Linked DNA regions of Caenorhabditis elegans. The protein of the gene in region 4 interacts with the protein of the main gene of each other region in a pairwise test. Each region holds a gene or a part of one and is shown on either strand. Other genes may lie near its edges.

Region 1 (5,308 bases), on a different chromosome or scaffold from region 4:
TAAATGGGTGAAAGATATTGGAAGAGAGAAGAATAGAGAAAGTTATAAAATAATGTTATGGTATTTATATGGTAGTAGGTCAGATAAGATGATAAAATGATAATAAAATGAATACAAACAGTTAATTCTCTTTTTATGAAACAACCAAAGTAAATTAAACATTCTAAAACGATAATTTTAGATTTTTTAAAACTAGATATATTACCCAGATACGAAAGTTTGCAATTTTCACTTAAAAATACAGTACCAGGTCTCGACAAGACCAAATATAATCTCCACGCCCCATGGTTTTGCAATTTTATTTGTTGTAATTTTTACTCTAAAAACCTATTGGATGTGACAATATTTATCTAAAATTAAACAATTATATATATTTTTAACTAGCTTAAATGAAAGAAAACTGCAAAACAGTGGGCCGTGAAGGTTACTGTACTTCTTAAAGGTGCCTATCTCTTTTCATTTGGATATATTCGATCGTTGTAAGACCTTGTATCGTACTCCAAGATGTTAATAAAAAAAATTGTCAATTAAACTGGAAAATAGTAATTTGAATTAGAATTTTCAATGTTCCGTTTGATTCTTTGAAACTTCCAATATTGTTCGAGTTTCTTCACATGTGTTTTATTTTGAATCATAGTATTTATTGAACTTTTTTATGATAAGACTGAAATAAATAAAAAGGACGAGGAAAATGTGGAAGTACAAAAAAGAAAAGAGCGAGAAATCAAAGTAGCAGAAGGAGGGGTGAGTGAGGTTTTAGGCTGGCTTTTTAGAACAAGAATTTTTCTCTATGTATGAGCCATTACGTAGTAATAATAATACTTAAAGTTCAAGTGAAAATGAAGAATAAATAATCGGATGACGGTGTGGGAGGATCGTAAGCAAACGGGTCGAGATTATGCAAAAAATATTGGAATAAATATAATATTTGAGAACCATTACTTCTTGGCCGGTGCACTCGCTTTGTCTCCGAATTCAACTTGACATAACCGACATGAATACTCATCATCTGGAGCTTTTTCGAGCGCCGGAGTCAGACAATAAAGATGGTATCCACGATCACAGTCGTCACAGAAGAGCAATTTATCCTGAAATCCAATTAATATTGCACTTTATAAATATAATAGAAAATATCTTACATCATTTTCACTTGTACCACAAATGGTGCAACTCTTGCACTCAAGACACTGCCATCCGCTTCTTTTTATGATTTTGGTCACATTTTGATTAAAATTAAGACAGGAAGGATGACCAGAACGACCACAATCATGACAACTAACGAGATCCTCTGGCAATTTTGTATTTTTGTTCATAAAAGCAGTGCCGCTGCAGAAATCACAGCTAGTAGATATTTCTATACTGGGAGACAATACTGAAAAATAATACATTTGAAAATAGCTTGGAATGCAAAAAACTTACACTTAACCAGTGGTTGACTAGACTTTTGATCATGAAGATACGACTGATGATAGCTTAAACCCGCGAGGCTTTTGTATTTCGCGCTGCATTCTGAAAATTATCAAAAATTTTAAATTACAAACGAAAGGACTTGGGAAATATGCGGTTTGAAAAGAGTATTTTCAAATCACAGATTTCCCATTATGCCACATCATATAAGCTTCCAGGAACACTCAGTACATGCTAAATTTAGTGCCTATATTTCTACAAACTTCCTCTCGATAGACCCCGTGTCCCGGGTGGGAGAGATGTATTTTTGATCAGTTGAGCGGTTGCCGCAGGATTTTTTACTGAGGTCCCTCTCGCCCAGGTTTCTTTTACAGAGGGATAAAATACTAGGAGGGATATAAGAATGGGATATTCAGGATACATATTGGCTTATGACTTAGTGCAAATTGATAACGAGAGGAAGGAAGCTAATACATTTGATAAGATCCACAATTATGTGAAGAAGTACTACAAATCACACCACTAATTATGAAACTAATATTAAAAAAAGATCATACATAATCTTCCAAAATTTATTTTTTAGACCAAATTTCCCATTTTTTTGATTTAATTTTCCTTGGATCTCTGGAGAAACATGCATAATTAAAAAAAAAACTAAAGCATGCAAAAACATAAATAATCTCGTGCAATTTCCAAGCATCCTAATTTTTTGAAAAATCTCGAAACCGAATGAATCAAGATACGAAAAATTAAACTAAAAATCATGATGATAGTGTTCCCGGTAACTGACATGCTGTGGGCGATGGGGGAGGCAAATAAGACTAAAAAGGACAAGAAGAATGGTGTGTTCTCCTGGGCGAGAGGGCTTCGCTAATCCGCCGTACAACCACTCACTGTCACATGGATACGTCTTCTCCTCCGGTTCTTCATATTTTGTTTCCTTCACTATGGAACGAGATGGGGTCAATCGAGAGACAGAGGAACGAGTTGTTGGTACCTAAACAGTCAGAATAAAATTATTTAAACAATTGAATAAATAAAGAAACCTTTTTACGTGACGAAGTTGCTTTCTGAACAGGCCCCAAGTTGCCTTTACGGCGTTTACGCGACGACCAATCATCTTCATCGGAGCCAAACTCGTCTGGAGAGAGCTCATCGTCAAGAACGTAGTCATCACGATATTCCTCTTTGATCTGTGTTTGGCGGGATGGTCTGATGGTAGTTGAGTCGTTCGAACTATCAGAAACACTTTCTGCAAATCGAACTACAAAAATTAGGTTGAATCGTTCTGATGCTTCTCACCAGTTGTTGGTCCGACAACTTGTGGAGTGAGATGATCAATTGCAACCTGAATAGACGGATTCTCACGCAAAAACATGCTCATCTCAACAGCATCAGATGGTGGCTGTGACTTGCTCTTCTTCCATCTCTCGGTTGCGAATTGAACAACAGTATTTGGATCATTTGATGGATACATGTGATCCACGTTGCGGGTTGTGAAGCGAGACTCTCGCTGGGCCGTAGCCGTTTGATGTTCATAGTATGGGAACCGCAGTCTGCAACTTTTAGGGGCTTAGTACAACCAAAAAATAATTCCTAAATGCTCTAAAGATTTATCATTACTTAGATTATTCAGATTTCAAATGGATCTTTTTTAAGTAGCCGAAACATCAATAACTAACCGTTTTTTACGATCCTCCATTTGCCGGGAATTCCATTTAATGCAGTTCCGCATCAGGTCCATATATCCGTTTTCCGAGATCATTGTCTGTAAGATTAGCTGTCTTGGATTATTTTTAAACATTTTGATAGCTCAAGAAATCGGGCGCCCGGTGTGAACAAACAAAAAAAACAAGAGAATGAATGAACACTGATCGATAAATTGGACAGCTGCCGATGTACGCAAACACCAACACGCGAAATTGCGTATTGTCCAGCGTGGACTCGTTGGCTGATGGACCTTTTGGCTCGAGTTTTCTTCTTCGTTTCCGGCCTAAAACGTTTCGTTTTTCAATTAAACAGTTTAAATTTTTTGCGATAATTGATTAATATGTAGCTACGCATTATGTGAATACCAAAAAATGGTTGAAAAGTTCATGTAGGCCTACAATTTTAGAAAATCTAGGTCTTTCGAAAACAAAAAAAAAACATTCGGTATTCAGAACGTTCGAACAAAATGCTCTATTCAAACATTCTAGTTTTCATAGAATATTTCCATGCATTTTACCTAGCGAATCGAAATGTTTGTTTTTTTGTTGAATGCAGGGTTATGTGTTTTTTAACTGTAAATACACGTAGTTTTTGCATTCAATGTTTAAAAATTTTGTCTTTATGTTTTAAGTTCCATTTTTTAGTTTTTTTCAGTAAACCTTTTTAGCTTCGTTGCGTTGTATTTGCATTTTTCAAAATTCCCACGTGGCACATTCAGTGCTGGCTTTTATTGCACTCTTTTTTGTCTGCGAAAGGAAAACTCTAAACCATTTCTGTTCGTTCTCCGGAACTTTACCGTCCATATAATATAATTTTCTCTGTTCCCTATCACTCTATCCGTTATCTTTTGATAAACAACGTTGACCTCGATAATTGAAAACATACCCATTCACTGGAATGAATAGGTGTTTTCCAATTCATTTCATATTTGCGTTTTCTTTTCTTTACCTGATGTATGTATCTAAATTCTCAAAGTATGATAATTTTTAGGGTCATCATGAACATCTTCCGTATATCGGCAGATATGTCGCACTTGCTTGCGATTATCATCCTTCTGCTCAAAATCTGGAAGAGCAGATCGTGCTCCGGAATCTCTGCGCGGTCGCAGATTCTGTTCGCTCTCGTGTTCACTGCTCGATACTTGGATCTTTTCTCCACATACATTTCTTTGTATAACACTACAATGAAGGTAACTTTCTGTCCGTAACAATTATAAATACAATCAAATTTCAGATCACCTTCCTCGCCGCTACGTACGCCACAGTGTATCTGATGTTCTTCAAATTCCGCTCAACTTACATGCGCGAGTCGGATACCTTCCGTGTCGAGCTTCTCATCGTCCCAGCTGCGATCCTCGCTCTTCTCATCAATCACGATTTCGCTCCATTTGAGTTGCTCTGGACTTTTTCGATCTATTTGGAGGCTGTGGCCATTCTTCCACAACTCTTCCTTCTCCAGTCTACCGGTTCCGCTGAGGTAAATCTGGAAAATAATAAATAATACAATAAATGCGCCAAATTTGACTTCAGCGTGCAAAATTTTCCCTCTCAATTCGACATGCCGTAAAAAAGTGTAAAATCCAGAGATGGCAAAATTGGAGATAGTACAAGAAAATTGTTGTGCTTAGAAATTGTCGTTTCTCCCGATTCCAACCGTTTTCCCCGTATTCCGAATTTCGCGCACATCTCCGCTGTAGTCCAAATTGATTCGTCAGCCTTTTAACTTTGCTAATATAACAACCTGATGAAATTTGACTGAAAGTTAATCCATTCTTTTCATAAGTTTTACTGTGTTGTTTGCAAACACTCGACATCTTTTTTTCTTAATTTCTTTTGGATTAGACATTTTGGTGTAGAGACGCAGACACCAGGCCACAAATTGAGCCTTCTATCTCTCTCCCATATTCATCGTTTCTTCTTCCAGGTCATCACTGCTCACTACTTGTTCGCTCTTGGCTCCTACCGCGCTCTCTACATTTTCAACTGGATTTACCGCTACTACACCGAGGACTATTTCGATCCAATTGTCGTTGTTGCCGGAATTGTACAAACTGTTCTCTACGCCGATTTCTTCTATCTTTACGTCACCCGTGTCGTCCAAACCCGTAAGGGTATGGAGCTCCCAATCTAAACGAACGATTCCCATCCTTTTTGACGTTTTTTCCTACGAGGTTATATTAATCTTTACGGAG
Region 2 (4,517 bases), on a different chromosome or scaffold from region 4:
TCCAAAAAGTATTTCGACTTTTGAAAAATTTGAGTCAGTTTTTACCAAATTTTTCAAAAAATGTGAACTTTTTGAGATATTTCATGCATTGGCGCGGGTTTGAATCTCTAAACTGTTACAATAAAAATAACCAAAACAATACTAGAATATCGAAAACAAAGAAAACCTATAGAGATGCAAATTGAGTTTTCAACGAATATCAATAAGAAATTTTCAGCTATAGGTACAACTTTTATATTGACGACGCTCCTACTAATTGGAAGAGCCAGGAGAAACATTTAAGAGTTTATGAAGTATGAAAAATAACTTCATGCACTCGAGGCGTGTTCGCCTCTTCACTCACCCTACTGAAGGGCGCGAGGAAGGCGAGTGGGAAGGCGGGAATAGGCTCCCCGTGACGCCTACACTAGGTGGAATGTCTATTTGATCCGGTTCTTAATGATATAAATGAGTAGAAAGTTGGAGAAAAGCACCACGTGAAAAGCCAAGTTTCAACAGTAACTACAGTAATCCTCACTTCAATCAAACCATCAGAATCCTCGTCAAACATCTTGAATACATCGAAAAGACGACGTCGAATATCTTCTGAACTTCCTTTTTTGTTTAAATTGGACAAAATATTACAAACCAACAATTACAGAATCTACTTCTTCTTTTTGGCTCTCATTTTCCCCTTCTTCTTCAATGTTTAATAAATCTTCATCTTCGCTCAGATCCATAATTTAGCTGAATACTAATATAATGTAGATCGCTCTAGTTGTTGCGCGAGTTTAGTGGTCTTTTCTGTCGGAAATATACGTTTTCTGGTTGAATAATTTTTATATTAAATACTACAAAAACGGAAATTGAATTCTAAAGCATGACAAATATAAAAATGAAGAGAAAAATTGAATTAGAGAGACAAAGAGCAAAACAAGTTAAACATATGACAGAGAACATTTGGAAGGTTTAATGAAAAGCGACGAGCATCCTGATTTATGAAGGTGTGGGTCGGTAATGGTTCATATTGGGAGAACATCGAAGTGATTAAATTTTGATTTGCCAGTGAACGACAAAAAATGAATAAAACAAGAGAAATAGAGAATAGGGTAGACCCGGTGAGGATTTGTTTTTTTTTTCTTAACTTGGAGCAATAGAAAAGGAGAAATTTAGATCAGAAATGGAGGGCAACGAGACCATTGAAAAGTACACGATTAGGAGAAGAATAAAATTTCTCATAGAGAAGTGAGGATCACGGACGGCCAATAGGCAGTGCTGGAGGAGGCATCAACTCGCGATCCTTGTCTTCCTGAAAATGATAATTTTGCTTTAGATCAAAAGGATCACAGAACCGTAAATCAAATTACATCTTTAGAACATTTTGATTCTATGTCTAAACTTTTCAAATATTACCTTGGCTATATTCCTAGAAGCTTCCTCGTAGAGATCATCATCAATACATTTTTCAGGTTTTAACTTCTTTGGGCGTCCTCGCTTTGGTCTGTCTTCTCCATCACCATCAGTAGATGCTCGTTTTAATCCTGTGAGACGTTGTCCTTCAGAATCTTTTTTCGAGTATTTGAGCATTCCTAGCATACCATTTACGAGTTGAGTTGTCGGAGTGCTAGGAGAAAGTGGTACGGTGGCTGTGAGTTCTTGAACTACTGGATAATTGGATGGAATCCCTTGAAGATAAAGTGGAAGTGGTGCTGCTGGGGATTGCGGATCAACTAAATAAGGAGAAATAGTTCCATCTTCTTGTTTCAATGCTTGTTGATCCATTTGCATCATTTGCATCTGCGCATTGGCAAGAATTGCACTAGCAAAATCTGAATTTTGTTGCTCTTGGAGCATTTGCTGTCCTCTCAATGTCATGCCGGTACGTGCAGTATTCAATTCAGATGCTTGCTGTGGAAGTGCAACATCTTTGAAGACTGATTCTAGAAATGAAAAGTGTGGAGTGTTGAGAACCGCCTGCTTCATGTGTTGAGGGTTTAGCGTCTTTGAAGATGTGAATTGAGTAGCTTCTGCGGCAGCCTCAAATATATATTCAAGGTTCAAAATAACTATGACTGAGTCTTCTCACCTGTAAAAACTTCTCCGCAAAATGCTCCATTGCTCTTCCGATGCTGACAGGAACTGACTGAACCATTCTTCCGATATCCTCATCACTTTGCATAACCTTCTTTATGCGTGTTGGCTGAATTTTTGCAGTGCTGAAACGACGTCTTCGGATCACAGCAGCTGCCTGTTGCTGCTGTTGGTTGCTGCTACCTGTTGATGATGAAGCACCGGCTGATGAAGTGGATGCCAACGTTGACATTTTTTCTGAAAAATAAATTTAAATAACGATTTGATCCTAATCTGTTAATTCTTAGATATTACATCTACAAATTGTTTTAAGTCGCATATTTTTTGAAGTTTCTAGATAGTTCATGATCCAGAAATGATGCCGGATACTGACGGTTTTACCCAAAACAAATTAAGGGTTTTTGAAAATAAATAAGCTTTCATTTTAAGATTTTATGAATGTACGTTTTCCGATTATCTATAATCGAGTTTCTTTTTTGTTCCATCCACCCTAAAAGATAAGGTCAAAACTAACGAGTAGCCGATGCATAATTGACGGGTAACATCGGCACCGCAAAGCCAACATCGCTTCCTCTATTCTGATCCATCTTGTTTTCTCCTCTCTCGAAATATGTATTCTCTGGTTTCCTTCCAAAAGTGTCAGTGTCTCCGACGGAAACGTTGCTGACGAGAGAAGACGATGTTGTGGAGATTTGGAGGCACAAAATGAGAGAGAGAAAGAACGAACAACGGGTGGTTTTCGAGAGATATAGAACTATTCCGAAGACGTCATCGATGATGGGCCTGAGACTAACTGAAAGTTGGAAGCTACTGTATAATACTCTTGAGGTAAAGCGATGAAATGAGAGATTATTGAACCATGAAAGAAGGACATGATGTTTCATTCATAGAAGCTCTCTTAACAACTTTGGAAAAGACATTTAGAGCCCATGAATAATCAACGCAAACTTTTTTTTCTAAAATTAATGGTCACTATTTGATATTGATTGGAATTATTAAAATATTCTGTGCTCAGTAACAAAGGGATTCAGATAATTAGATTTTGTTATATTTCATTTCCCGTTAGAGCAACTCCGTTTCGCAACAAGTGTGTTATGTTCTATATGTTCTGTATGTACACAGCCGTTCGGGTCTCATCGATCACTATAACAATATAGATCATCACATCAGTACAACAATTGATAACAAAAAAGAGGCGTGATGGTATCTTCCTTTTTTCTATTTCTCGCTTTCATTTTGGTTATTTCATTCTTTAATGATAACGCCATTTATTCCATTCTGCGTCGTGTCGATTCGATTCGATGTCAACGCACACACACACACTTACACATCTACTGGCCAGGACTGGAGGAGAGCGCGTAAAGACGAGTGATTGAGCGCTTCGGTGAGGAGACGAGAGAATCTAAGGGAAATAGTGTATAAAGAGGAGATAGAAGGGGGAAAAACGGAGAATAGGAGCAGAAAGGCGCTGGCCGATCACACGCAGACCTCGCGTTCTTCCCTCCTTTATATACAGCGGACAAATCGGTGATTCGCAGGTCTGCGCGACTACGGTACCCGCTGCTTGTTCTGCGTCTCCACGTGTCGTTTCACTACCTTTTCCCCCTTTTATTTAGCGTGCGCCCGCGCCGCGCCGATGTTTGAGAGTCTTTGATGCAGCTGTACGGGCCGAGATGAGAGGGAAGAGAAGATGAGAGAAGCAGAGAGTTGAGGGAAAGAACATAGACTCCTCCTCCGCATACTCGATTTGTATGTTTTTGTGTGGACAGACGGACAGATGGATAGATGGCTGATTTGTCAGCTTGCCGTCGAATTATTGATTGTTCTTTTGTGAAGCAAAGTCGAGATATTGAAATGATGAAATTATCTTAACTGTTCAGTATTTGCATAAAGAATTATTGAACGGATATTTTTGCAATTGTTGCCTATGAGGTGATTGAGATCTTTTTGCGAATTTTTATTCTCCAATTTACTAGAAAAAAAACTTAGAGGCAAATTTGCGCAAACATTTTTAAGTTCAGACCAGGATGGGCGGCAAAAGAACATTTTCGGCAAATATATTGATCGACATTGATCAAGTTAAAAATTTGGCCAAATGTCTTGTGCACATTTAAAATATTTTGAAAAAAATCTACAAATGAAAGAAAATTTAATTCGTACAGCAGTGAAGTTTTTGTGGCAAAAGATTTATCTAATTTTTCTTTGTATATTAACTTATAAAAATTTACAGATTTTCAGATTTTCTTCTTGGATATGAACATTTTTAGAGAATTTTCAATTTCCCAGCAATCGGCATTTTTGGAAATTGATGAATTGATGAACTTTCGATAACTCAGTATTTTCCGCAATTGTTTAACTGTCAAAATAGCGAAATTGGAATTGTCGCCCAGCTGGTTCAGACTACTTAGAATTAATAGAAAATGTGATATCTTTTCAGAAAAAAAAAT
Region 3 (5,742 bases), on a different chromosome or scaffold from region 4:
GCTCCGCCTCCTAACGTTAGGTCTCGGTAGGAGGCGGCGAGACTGTAAATTCAAACTTTTTCACTATTTTTTCGATTGTTTTTTGTTGTTTTACATATTTTTTATGTCGAAATGATGTTTAAAATACTTGTCGTTTCGAAATTATAATATAGTCAGAAATAACCGAAAAAATAACAAATTCCTAACGGGACCCAACGTTTAGGGGCGGAGCACTTTTCGTTTTACATTGGAGCGCGCTTTCGCTTAGATTTCAAAAAACTCTATAATATACAATTTTGGATTTTTTTATTCAGATTGTTAAAAATTCGAGTCCTGAAATTAATTTTTTGAATATCTTTCAGGTTGTCACTGGCTGCAAGCATGTCTACGCCTCAACTCGTTCCCGCCGTGATCTGATCGCTCAGGCGGTTGCCGAATATCTTCAGAACGCTTAATGATTAGAAAACTTCACTTTTGCAGTTATAAACTTACTTGTCTATATGATGAATTTTAATTATTTGAACTGCAACAAGAAGATTATGAAATTCAAGAATAATTTCATTAAAAAAATAAGTGACTAATAAGTCAAATTATTACACAGAACAAATGAAATGAAATGAGGCGTACGCTCTCTGAGCGGTGTGGGAATGATAAAGGGATAGCGTAAGCTTTTCGGTGTGTAGATGCGAGATAAAACGGAGTGTTATATTTTAATGTACAGGTTGAGATCGTCGTGGCGAGAACACATGTCGTTGTTGCTAGAACATGATCTGCGCCTGAAAAAAAAGTTCATAAAATAATTTAAAGATATATTCCCGGAGACTTTTTGCTTTTGTGCCGGTTTTTCGATTTTTGGATATTTCGAAAAAAATTGCGAGAGTTCAAAAATTATTTAAAATCTGCCACTATTCTTTTTTTTAGAAGAATAGTATGTTTTGTGAAAATATTTCTATTTTTTTTCGATTAAAAAATCGAAAAAGACAATTTTTTAGTTTTTCGGAAAATCGAAAAACCGACATCCTTGTTACTGTTTAAATACCTTATTAAAACTAAAATAATTAAAATAAATTTTTCTTTTAAAACTTAAAAACATTGATTTCTATTTTTTTTTCTCATCAACATATACAAAATTTGATTTAAAAAAACGGTTTTTTAAAAATAAATTTCTGAAAAGTTTTTTTTTTAATTTTTCAGTTTTCCGGACGTTCCAGATTTTTCAAAATTACAATTTGGTTAAAATTAGGTTTATTTTTTTTCGTTTTTTCGAAAAAAAATTCGCAAAAACTGAAAGATTTGAGTTATAAATTTTTGATAAATTTAGTAAAAAGAAAAATGATTTTATTAGAAAATTTCAATTTTTTGACACTGTAAACCAGTATTTCCATTTTTTTCCTTAGTATTTAGTATTTCCAGTGTTTAGGTGTTTTTTTTTGAAAAAGAGCAAAAAACTGGAAAAAAATTGTAGGGTCAAATTTGCTCAAAAAAGTGCAATTTCTGTTGTTTGTATGAAATAGGGCGTAAACCGTTTTTTTTTAAATTTTTTTTTTGGTTCTGCCAAAAACGAAATTGTTTTTTTTTGGTTTTTTGAAAAAAAAATGTTATCACGAATTTAATTTAATTTTAATTTTCAGTTTTTAGCCGTAAACACGAATTTTTGATTGAAAAAAACTCACTCTTTTCTTTCCGTACTCTTTGGGTCGCCATTGCAGAGCTGCTGGATTAATTCGTGTCTTCTTTTTCGCAGCCTCAATCCGTTTCTCATAAACTTGACGCTTTTCATCACTAATCACAATTATGTATGATCCCTTATAGTATTTGTATAGATCAAGTTGCTGTAACGTTGACACAACATCTTCTCGTTTAATCGATGTACTTTGTGAAATGTCCTGAACTGTGATATCTTCGCCTGGATGTCGTCTTTTGAATGCGAAAAGCTCTTTCATGATGGCCATTGACCAGTACGATCGATATGAGAGAAGTCCCAAATCTGATAGTGGTTTTTCGGGTGATCCTGTCTTCTGTTCAATTTTCGAGAGTTCATAGCTGAATTCGATGAGCAAACTTCCGTATCCTTTCTTTTGAAATGGAGGTAACACAAGAATACACGCAACATTATATTCTTCAGCTGATTCTTTTTCTTTTGAAAAGTATCCAACTATATGATGACCCTTCTCGTCTTCTTCGGTTAGCACATAGAACAAAAATGGATCCGTGTCATAGTAAAGAGTCTTGTGATCCAGAAAAAGTTTGGCAAGCAGGCATAGATTCTGAGCATAGCTTTTGTTTTTGCGGCCGTCGATTTCAAAAAATGAAAGTTTATCGTGACTGTAGATTTGATTGCCAGGTGGGTGACACATTGCACATTTTTCCTGAAATAAAATTAATTAGAATTGGGCATTTTAATTAAATGATAGAAAATGAAGAGTATGGACCGAATGTAATTGTTTAAAAAATTAAAAATTTGTCTATTTTTTACGTTTTTTTTCCATTTTGCAAAATAGAAAAAGTAGCTGATTTTAATTTGAATTCCCACGCAGAATAATGGCCTATTTGCGAAACTTTTTTGATTACGATAAATTTGGTTTGAAACACCGTTTGTGAATTTTTTTTTCGTTTTCGCAAAAAAGTATTTCAAAAATGCAATTTTTGGAGCAAATTCCCAGAATTTGCGATTTTTTTCGATGCCGGAAAATTTTAAAAACATTGTTTCAAAACTAATATCAACGGAAAAAGCAAGAAAAACCGAAAAATTCAGCCAAAAACACACAAGAACTCGAATTTTTTCGAATTCACCGATTCTTTCATTTTTGGAAAATTGAAAATTTTTGAATTTTGAAAACAGTTATTTATATTCGGTCATTTTCTATAACTCGAAACACTCACCATGTGCCGTTTCAGACAAGTTTTCGACTTTAGATATTTCAGACAAAATTCGCAAATATAAATACAATCCAAACTTGTCAATTGTTGTGGATAAGGTGCAAAGTACCATGGCTGAATTCGTGATCTTCCTAGTTCAATGCATTCGACATTTCGGATCCTTGTCATTGCATCTTCACTATGGCCGACCATCGACATGGAACCTCGAAGACTTGGAGTAGATCCGCTGGTCATCGTTGAAATTGCTTGTAATGGATCTACGGATTCCGCCTTGAGATCATCCATCGGAAGTAGTGGAATCTTTCGTTTTCGGCCGCTTTTCTTTCCTTCATTTTCATTCGAATCTCGACTGAAATAATTATGAATTGATAAAACTATTTAAAATCTTTTGAAAAGTTTATAGATTTCTCACTTTTCTTCCCGCAAGTGTGCTCCTTTCTTTCCTCCTTTTTTTGGTAGCTCACACGACGCTAAATTGAGCCTATCAGACTGAACCCATTCGTCAAGTCTTCGGTTGCAATCGATATAATGGACATAGAATTTAATTGAACCATTTGCAGCTCGGCATCTTGAAATAACTTCGGCCCATCCTGAAAATAATTGGAAAATGTGTTTAAATAGATGTAAAAACTAACTTTCTTCTTCTTGTGAAGCCATCATGACCAATAACCGGCATCCCTCTGTAACTTTCTCGTATTGCCTGGGATCTGTTGGTATTTTCTTGGATATTCCATGATTTTCGTCCTCTATAATCTCCTTCTTCGGCTCGGTCATGATAAATATCTGGAAATAGTACAATTTTGTGTGAAAAATTCAATATTCAATAATATAGCAATCAAATGTGAACGATAGTACTTTCTTGCGTGCATAATCCATGAACAACATCTAAAAATCGATCCAAAAATGAACAAACTAGTTTTTTAATTTTAAAATAATATTATCCGTTGTTAGTTTTACTATTTTATCAATAAAAAACTTTAAAAATGCAAGAAATAATTGTGAAATCATGCTCGAAAAAAATAAAACGCGCCGGCTGGCCTAGAAACCAACCTCGGCCGCACTGCGCCGGCCACAGGGAAAAAGGGCGGCAATTCAAAAAAGAATAACAAGGGTGGTTGAAAATTGACCGCGGCATAACGTTTCAAGGCAATTATTTTGCGAAATGATCTTGAATTAAATTATTCGAATTGAAAAATAGTTATTTATAATGTACGATTGTACTTTCAAAAAAAAAACGATCACAAGAAAATTAGGAAAACGCAAATTTTTGAAGATGCTTAAAAAATGAACTGAATTCAGTGGTAAAATTTCAGATATCTAGATGTCCATTGCACTGTTGAGCCACGAACAAAAAAATTTAAATCAATGCTGCGCGAAAAGGTGTGCGCCTTTAAATGGTACAGTAGCCGAGTTATTGTTCACGAGATTTTCTCTGAAAAACATAATTTTGTTGAAAACCGAAATTGAAAAGCATGAAAAATGAAAATAAAACAGCAAAATTTTAGCTTAAAAAATCTAGGAAAAATCAAAAATCGAAGAAAGTTGCGAAATAAGAGAGAATGGATTACTGTACTTTTTCATCAAATTCCAAGTTTCCAACTTCAATTTTTCCTACATACTTTCGAGTCATGTGTTGCAAGAATGTATCGGTCTTGACCCTGCAAGCTTTAGATTCAAATGAATTCCTTCAATTTCAAAATTCAAATGTTACATTCAAATGTTGAATCCGGCATCATCGGAGCAACTACGAAGCACACAAAAAATCCGAAAACAAAAAATCAAATATCAAAAAGCGACAAGTGACAGGATGAGATGAAGAGACGAAGAGTTGAAAATCATTGAACTGATTGAACGCGTCACATCAAAACACCTGTTCGAACAAGATTGATAAGAGAGCCTCTTCCTCGTTTATTTTTCCTCTTTTTCTTATTATTCTTCCTTCTTCTTCTTCCCATTTTCCGATCATTATGATTATCATAACACTCGTGAAAGAATACGACCTTCTTTGTAATCTATATATCTTTTTCGTCATTTCTTTTCTCTTTCGATCACAGAAAGTAATTGATCGTCGTTTCAGGTTTACCGCCGTCTCCGTTTACTTCTACTATTTTCCATTTTCAATTAGAGAAGACGGTTTGACCCATACTCTATCATGTCACTATATTTTATACTAATTGTTACTATAATAATCCCACAATTTGAATTTATTCATTCACCTTTATCTGAAAAGGATATTGTTACATTCCGCTTCAATTTGGTAAATCGTCTTGATCAGTGCACATTATGGAGATCAAAACTAGATAAAAAAGTTTCAAATACGTTAGATCATTTTTTAATGAACTCAAAGTTTGATGAATTTCGAGAAGCATCTACACAATTAGCTGCAGATATATACCCGGAAAGTATTGACTGCCTTGACTCTTGCTCTTATGATATTGAACAATTTAATGATTTCGTGAAATCTGAAAGTTTAACTACAAAGAATGATCTTGGAGACCTTCTTGATAACGAGCAAATTTATCAGTTGCATATGCTTTTGGAGAAAACAAAACGGCCGGATATCGTGGAAAAAGGGGTGAGTTATTGAAGTTTCAATTTTAATTTTAACGATTAAAATTCTATATAACAACTTATGTTGTTTTATAATATTTTTTATGGGAAATGGATGAAAAAATTTCAAAAATTGTGTAATTGAATTGTAATTAATTTACTATAAATAAAATGTGCTAATTCCAGAAATGATCCGATGAAAAAGCTATACATTTTTTGGACAGTCTTCACAGTCTTTGACACTATTTTTTTTTAAATTATATTTTTATTAATTTTATATCAGTTTGTTTTAGATATTCTTAAAACCAATTTGAATCAAAATGAGATGATAAT
Region 4 (6,034 bases):
CCACGTTTTCCTTTGTATCCAGCAACACCTGGTGGTCCTGCTGGGCAAGCAGTGCAAAGATCTCCAGCTTGGCTTGCAGTCTGCTCATTGCTTCCATCAGCTCCATCTTTTCCTGGAGTTCCATCGGTTCCGTCGGTTCCTGGCTCTCCGGCTGATCCTGATTCACCCTTTGGTCCTGCTGGGCAAGAGTCGTCAATTTTCACAGGGCTGGCTTCGGGTGCTGTAGCGGCAGGAGATCCCTCACCAGCAGCTCCTCCTTCCTTGTCTAAATTTTCATTTGTCAAATATTTTCAGATAACGTTAACATCTGCACTTACATGTTTGTCTTGCAACTCTGCGGTGGCTTTCATTCGTAACAAGCTCCTTCCAGAGCACATTCGAAGTCTCTTCAAAACCAGTTTTTGCAGTTTCCAGTTGAGCAGTCATGTCTCCCATAGTATAGAAAAGGACAGGAGTAGCAGTTACCATAATCAAGAAAGCACTTCCAGAAAGAATGACTGCAAATGAGACAGTCGACGAAGACGACTCCATAGTTTTGTAACTCATTGCTCGAAACAAACAATGGAGAAAAACTTGGTTGATGAATGTTGTACCCCACTACCGTCTTATATACAACATGTGTTATCTAAAACTCTGATCGGTATGTTCCGGAAGTTGTCCTACTCCTTCCCAATCTTCACTTCAAACCACTTTCATTTGTATTATCTGATCCTTGCTACCGCTTCAACAAGTTTTTGCATTTGCATATTCTGGATACCAGGCTATTCATTCCATTTTGTTTCAAACGTATCAAAATTTTATTATTCACTCCATAAATTGAATTATGACACTTCATATTAATCGAACACCTATACAATCGGCTCAAAAGAGAAGAATATATAAAAATAGACGAAATCAGGCAACGGGAAAAAAAGGTAAAACAAACAAAGACTACTACAACGACTATACAAACTCCTCAATAGGTTATACATTAGGTTATAATAATAAAAAACAACGGATTACAAATGGAAATAAGGAGCAAGATATCGCTGGTGTAGATCAATGCCAACAATGATAAACGGCATGCTTACAATTTTGGAAAAAAAAATGATTGAAAGAGCAAGTCTGTCTGTCAATGGGTAGGAAATCTTCAAAAAATACTAATCCCCGAGGTAAGAAAAGAACCAAAAAAACAAGAAGAAAAAAGTACCCCGTTTTGAAAAAGGTGAATAAGAGAAGTTGAAAGAAATGTCATCGAAGGCGTCAAAAATGGGTAAGTGCGCAAGCTGAATTACTCTATCTAAGCAACAATAATAATAATCAATTTCAAATCAACTGTGGTTCCATCATCTGCTGGCCAAAGTTTGCGCCAAACAGCATTTGAAACTCGTCATTCGTTGGTACCAAAATTTCCGGATCTGCTGGCTGAGGCTGAAAAAAAAGTGAGCTTTAGTTATTTGTTCAAATATTAACTTTTGTAAACGTACAACAATTTCTCCAGTTTCAATCAAACTGCTAACTCGCGTGTGGTAGCTCATGTGCTGATTGTAGCTGGCCTCGTCAGCAAATGGTCTATAGCATTTCTGAAAAAATATATATTGTATCGTAAATCCAACAATAATAACAAATTTTCAATCATCCCACAGACAGAAAACCACTCAAATTACAACGTTATAGAACTCACTTCGCAGAAAAATTCAAGACCCTCCCGATGATTTTCGTGTTCGAGTGTGTGATGGCTGACACAATCCATTCTGGTCATGAATTGAGACTTGCACACTGGACAATCATGGCTGAAATTAGGTAGGTTTAATGAAAATTTTAATTTAAACTGTGTAATGTGTTCTCTTCTATTATAATAGTTCTATTAGTTCTATTAGTAATGCACTGCTCGATTTTGGGAGCTTACAACTCAGTTGGTTCAAAAAAATTCAATAAGTATACAAACCCAGGCATATATTAGGAAATGAATCGCACCATGGGTGTGCGGCAAATTCGGCAAATTTGCCATGGTTGTCATACTCAGTAAATCGCAATATTTTTCGAGCTCAAAGAGGGCCAAAATTGATTTAAAAAATAAACTACGTTTACTGGTTTTTGTTCGAATTTTGCCTAATGCGCGTGTGGATTTCTTCAATAAAAAATAAAAGAAACACGATGTTATGTTTACTTTCATTAGGTTTCTGTTCAAAACCATTAGTTTTGTACAAAATTTTTATAAAAATTGTTTCATGTGTGCGGCAAATTTCAGTATTTGCCGGGCTCGGCAGATTCGGCAAGTCTACATTTTTGAAATTTACGGAATTCGATGAATTCGGCAAATTCGGCAAATTTGCCGCACACCGAGCGCTTTTCAGATATTATACTTATACTCACTTTCAGTCCTACATTCACTTTTTGATGCTTTCTATGCTTTCAACAATCTTCCAGCCATTTTAAAACAAATTATAAAGTACGCTCTCTTTTAAGATAATAATTCAATCAAAATTTGACGAAATTTCGTAGCGAAACTGTTGCAAAAAATTTGAATTGATGTCAAATCTTTCTCAAACGCACGGAGAGCAGGTATGTATATAATATGTACCGTAATTCTGAGAATTCATGTGCTCAAACGGCATTTTCCACTCCGATTTCTTTTCAGTTCAAGGATAAATAAACTCACGTCTCGAATGCAATGGACTTTGCAATCTCGAAAAGGTTGCCCCAACGCTCAAGAGACATGTTGTTGAAGATAGTGTCTTCGAGACGTCTGATCTTGTCCTCAAGCTCAACTTGTGGCAGAAGATCTCCTCTTCTCAACTTGTCCACCCAGTGCTCTGGTTCTCCGAGTCCAAGCTTCCTGAAAAAAAACATTCGGTAATCTCACATTTTAATTGTGCATGCTGGATGTCTGCTTACTTCTTCTTCGGACGAGGCGGCGGCGTGTAGTACGGTCCTCCGGCTCCACGAAGTACGATGGCGTCGTCAGGGATGTCAGCAGGCGGCCGACGGTTGCTGAACCGAGATTTTGCCAATACTGGCGTTCCGTTTTTGTTAAGATCAAACCTGGCAAACGGCCTCCAGGCAGCTTCCAGCTCTTCCTTCGTCGTGACGTGTGTGCGAAGATGCTTCTTGAGGTTGCCTTTCAGTCTGAAAAAATTTAAAAAATTTGTTTGTTATTTCTCGTATCGCCTAAATAATTTTTGTTGATTATATTTTTGTGTTTTCTACCCGCAACATTTAGATTACTGTCACGAGTGCCGTTTTGAAATGAGTACGGCATGCATCTTATCTACGCCTTTTTCACCATTCTAACACTATTTCTCTTCGTTTTATCGATTGTTCTACAGTGTCGCCTATGGCATTACGGTGTCTCTCGTCCGTCTCTTTTTCTCTACCGTTTCTCGGCCCGTACACTGTACACACCGTACTGCGCATTAGCAGAGGAGAGTCGACTGTGAGAGAATGAGAATTAAGGGGAAACGGTCGTTTTCGCAACCCGCCACATTTTTATTACTGTACATTTGAAAGAGCACAGCGAATGTTGTTTAAAAAAACCACTAACCGACAAGTTTTTCCACAATATGGACAGGCGTGAGGAGTGAAGCCGGTATGGACTGAACGATGCTCAAACAAGTTCGACTTAAACCTAAATGATTTTGAACAAATATCACATCGGAAAGGCTTCTGATCTGTGTGTATCACTGCATGCTGCTGGAGACCTGAAAACAAAATCAGAGTTAGACAAAGCTACCGTATTTTTCAAAAAATTACCTTTATAGGAAACAAATATTTTGTTGCAAACATTACACTGGTGCACAGCTCGAGGGGTCATCATTCCTTCCACCATCTCATCTTCTTCAGGAAACCCCATTTGATACTGAAATTGATTATGATGCCCCTGAAATGGTTTCAGAATTTTTTTGAGTACCTGAGAATAATCCTGCTCATCCATCATCATTTCGGAGTCATCCATGTGTTGATTGTGGTGATAAACTGACTGATTCGACCCGTGAGTCATACTGGAACTGTTGAATTCAGAGAGGGACTGATCCGCAGAATTCCGTTGACTCTGAAAGTAGAGAACGTCTAAAAAAGTAGGGAATTTATAAAAGATTCGATAAATTGAAATTTGAAAGGAGTTTATAAAAGGAAAGGTTAAAGTACAGAAGCGAAATAAAAATGAAAACATGGGTTTCAAGAGATTTCAAAAAATTTTAGAAATTTTTTTTGAAATGATATCTAGTTACCTGCTTAGCATTTCTTCTGGTTAGCATGACAAAATTTGCCTCAGACAGCTTAAAAACAGCTCGAGACTGCTAGATATTGCGAAAGAAGCGTCGAATTCAAACTATTCACCTTGCCGCCAAGTGCAGAAAGGGTTATGGTATGAGAACGATACGGTAAGAAATGCGACCACTCGGAGGGGACGCGACGCGGCCGCAGCGCAACGAGAAAACGAGACGCAGGCGCGCAACAAACAACAAGGATAGTGAGCGAGAGGACAGAGGTCACCACCGTCGCTTGCTGTTCGTGGTTTTTACATCGTTTCTGATAACTCAGCAAGTGTAGAATTTAGAAAATAATGAGTTTTTTGTGTATTGCGAGTGTTTAGAAAATTAGATATAAAAAATTAAACTGTATTTTTATATTATTTCGTAATAATCGTCATTTTTTACAATTTTTTTTTCAAAATTATAAAGTGCAAATTAAAACATTTTCATTGCAATTTTTCGGAATTTTTAAAATTGTCTTTTTTTTCTAAATAAAATACAATTTTATGAAAAAAATTATTTTAGTTTTAGTCATGGTTTGGTCGAAAACACAAAACAGGTGCAAAAATAAGCAGATGCGTTTTCATAATCTCAGGTGGCCGAGAATTGAGAAATTGGTTGCTAATTTTTGGGCTATGGCAAGTCTTAAAAATAATTTGCATCAGAAATGTTTTATTGAAAGTAAAATTAAGATTTAATTATAAATAGAAGTTAGTGCTTGGAATAGTAAAAGTCAATCAAATTATACATGATCAATAATATTTTTCCTAACATAAAAGACATGTATAATATTGTCACAGCTGCTTTTGGAACTGAACAAAACCCAGCAAAAGACTTCAACGATTTTGGCAAATTGAAAAAAGTTAAATGAAAAAATAAAACCTTGAAATTTGAAATTGGAAATTTGAATGAAAATCGATCAGGACTCAGAAAATCGCATCTATTCGCTATGAACACTATTCGATATTCGTGCAACGCCGTAAGCCCCAGACGAAGAGCAGATGTGCATCTTGCCTGCTGCTCGCACGCATCCACGCTGGCTCACCGTGTAACTCCAAGTATATTGGGAGTTGTTGTTGTTGTTGTTGTTGTGGAGGCAGACGTGGTTGTTGTGGTGTCCATTTGGAATCGGAGCAGCAAACGGCGTGTGTTGTTCATGGAAATTGGACTGGTGCTGCGGATGGTGTAAATTCATCATTCTGAATTATAAAATTAAATGTTTTCGGGTTAATGAAATTGAAAAATAAATAAAATAAGTGTATATTAATTTCGAAAAAAAAGTGTGAAAACGGTTAATAGTAGTTTAATACAAAATTAAAAAGTTAGAGATCTCTTGAATTTTAAAGCTTTAGATTAAATTTAATAAGATTTATATATTTATTGATAATTTATTGACTACAAAGCAAGTTTGTTAACAAACACAACAAAACAAATAAAGATTGACATTTTGTGAAACCTATCAGCATTTATACTATTTATAAAAATACCAATAAGTAGTGTTATATAAATTAATTTACCAAAAATAACAAATTTTTTCCAAATGTTTTTTTAAACCTGAGGAGAAATTTGTGTCTTGTTCAGTTTATGTTCATAAGTTTCACAATTCTAATTGAAAAATCTTGAGAAGGGGAGTTTTGGTGAACTAAAATAAAACAAAACGTTTTTTTTTCAAAAATAATATATTAAGCCAGAAACTCGAAAAATTAGTCTTTACAATTAGTATCAAAATTTTAAGGATACCTAAAGTTTATAGTAAGATTCCTTCAAAGTGAAGTGTTCTAACAAGAGTGTGAAAACTTGTT

The links.
Region 1: the proteins of lsy-2 (region 4) and dpff-1 interact in a two-hybrid assay, tested with the Caenorhabditis elegans proteins (one large-scale study listed by BioGRID).
Region 2: the proteins of lsy-2 (region 4) and drap-1 interact in a two-hybrid assay, tested with the Caenorhabditis elegans proteins (one large-scale study listed by BioGRID).
Region 3: the proteins of lsy-2 (region 4) and mys-1 interact in a two-hybrid assay, tested with the Caenorhabditis elegans proteins (one large-scale study listed by BioGRID).

What each region holds. Positions count from the first base shown.
Region 1 is NC_003281.10:5,902,944-5,908,251, forward strand, and holds dpff-1 (Zinc finger protein dpff-1), read right to left. Parts: upstream 3,180-5,308; 5' UTR 3,173-3,179; coding exon 3,090-3,172; intron 2,964-3,089; coding exon 2,710-2,963; intron 2,672-2,709; coding exon of another isoform or gene 2,660-2,671; coding exon 2,454-2,659; intron 2,405-2,453; coding exon 2,302-2,404; intron 1,510-2,301; coding exon 1,420-1,509; intron 1,373-1,419; coding exon 1,140-1,372; intron 1,089-1,139; coding exon 939-1,088; 3' UTR 620-938; downstream 1-619. Other genes in the region: ER lumen protein-retaining receptor erd-2.2, read left to right, coding at 4,115-4,306, 4,351-4,593, 5,041-5,247. UniProt on the Caenorhabditis elegans protein: Probable transcription factor, involved in meiosis and stress protection.
Region 2 is NC_003283.11:9,730,305-9,734,821, reverse strand, and holds drap-1 (Transcription factor CBF/NF-Y/archaeal histone domain-containing protein), read right to left. Parts: upstream 2,864-4,517; 5' UTR 2,658-2,863; coding exon 2,585-2,657; intron 2,308-2,584; coding exon 2,066-2,307; intron 2,017-2,065; coding exon 1,393-2,016; intron 1,289-1,392; coding exon 1,232-1,288; 3' UTR 800-1,231; downstream 1-799. Other genes in the region: cal-7 (EF-hand domain-containing protein), read right to left, coding at 518-585, 629-719.
Region 3 is NC_003283.11:7,081,021-7,086,762, forward strand, and holds mys-1 (Histone acetyltransferase Tip60 homolog), read right to left. Parts: upstream 3,643-5,742; 5' UTR 3,634-3,642; coding exon 3,495-3,633; intron 3,450-3,494; coding exon 3,272-3,449; intron 3,209-3,271; coding exon 2,863-3,208; intron 2,349-2,862; coding exon 1,653-2,348; intron 756-1,652; coding exon 738-755; 3' UTR 525-737; downstream 1-524. Other genes in the region: npa-1 (Polyprotein allergen nematode domain-containing protein), read left to right, coding at 342-434; VC5.2 (Laminin EGF-like domain-containing protein), read left to right, coding at 5,012-5,434. UniProt on the Caenorhabditis elegans protein: Probable catalytic subunit of the Tip60 chromatin-remodeling complex. Plays a role in acetylation of nucleosomal histone H4 and perhaps also H2A, probably acting as a component of the Tip60 histone acetyltransferase complex.
Region 4 is NC_003284.9:2,088,001-2,094,034, reverse strand, and holds lsy-2 (Zinc finger protein lsy-2), read right to left. Parts: upstream 4,332-6,034; 5' UTR 4,236-4,331; coding exon 4,209-4,235; intron 4,031-4,208; coding exon 3,890-4,030; intron 3,839-3,889; coding exon 3,733-3,838; intron 3,681-3,732; coding exon 3,524-3,680; intron 3,109-3,523; coding exon 3,025-3,108; intron 2,974-3,024; coding exon 2,878-2,973; intron 2,819-2,877; coding exon 2,642-2,818; intron 1,773-2,641; coding exon 1,664-1,772; intron 1,563-1,663; coding exon 1,467-1,562; intron 1,411-1,466; coding exon 1,306-1,410; 3' UTR 782-1,305; downstream 1-781. Other genes in the region: col-164 (Nematode cuticle collagen N-terminal domain-containing protein), read right to left, coding at 1-265, 318-546. UniProt on the Caenorhabditis elegans protein: Involved in transcriptional regulation. Required to specify left-right asymmetry of the ASE gustatory neurons, probably acting upstream of microRNA lsy-6.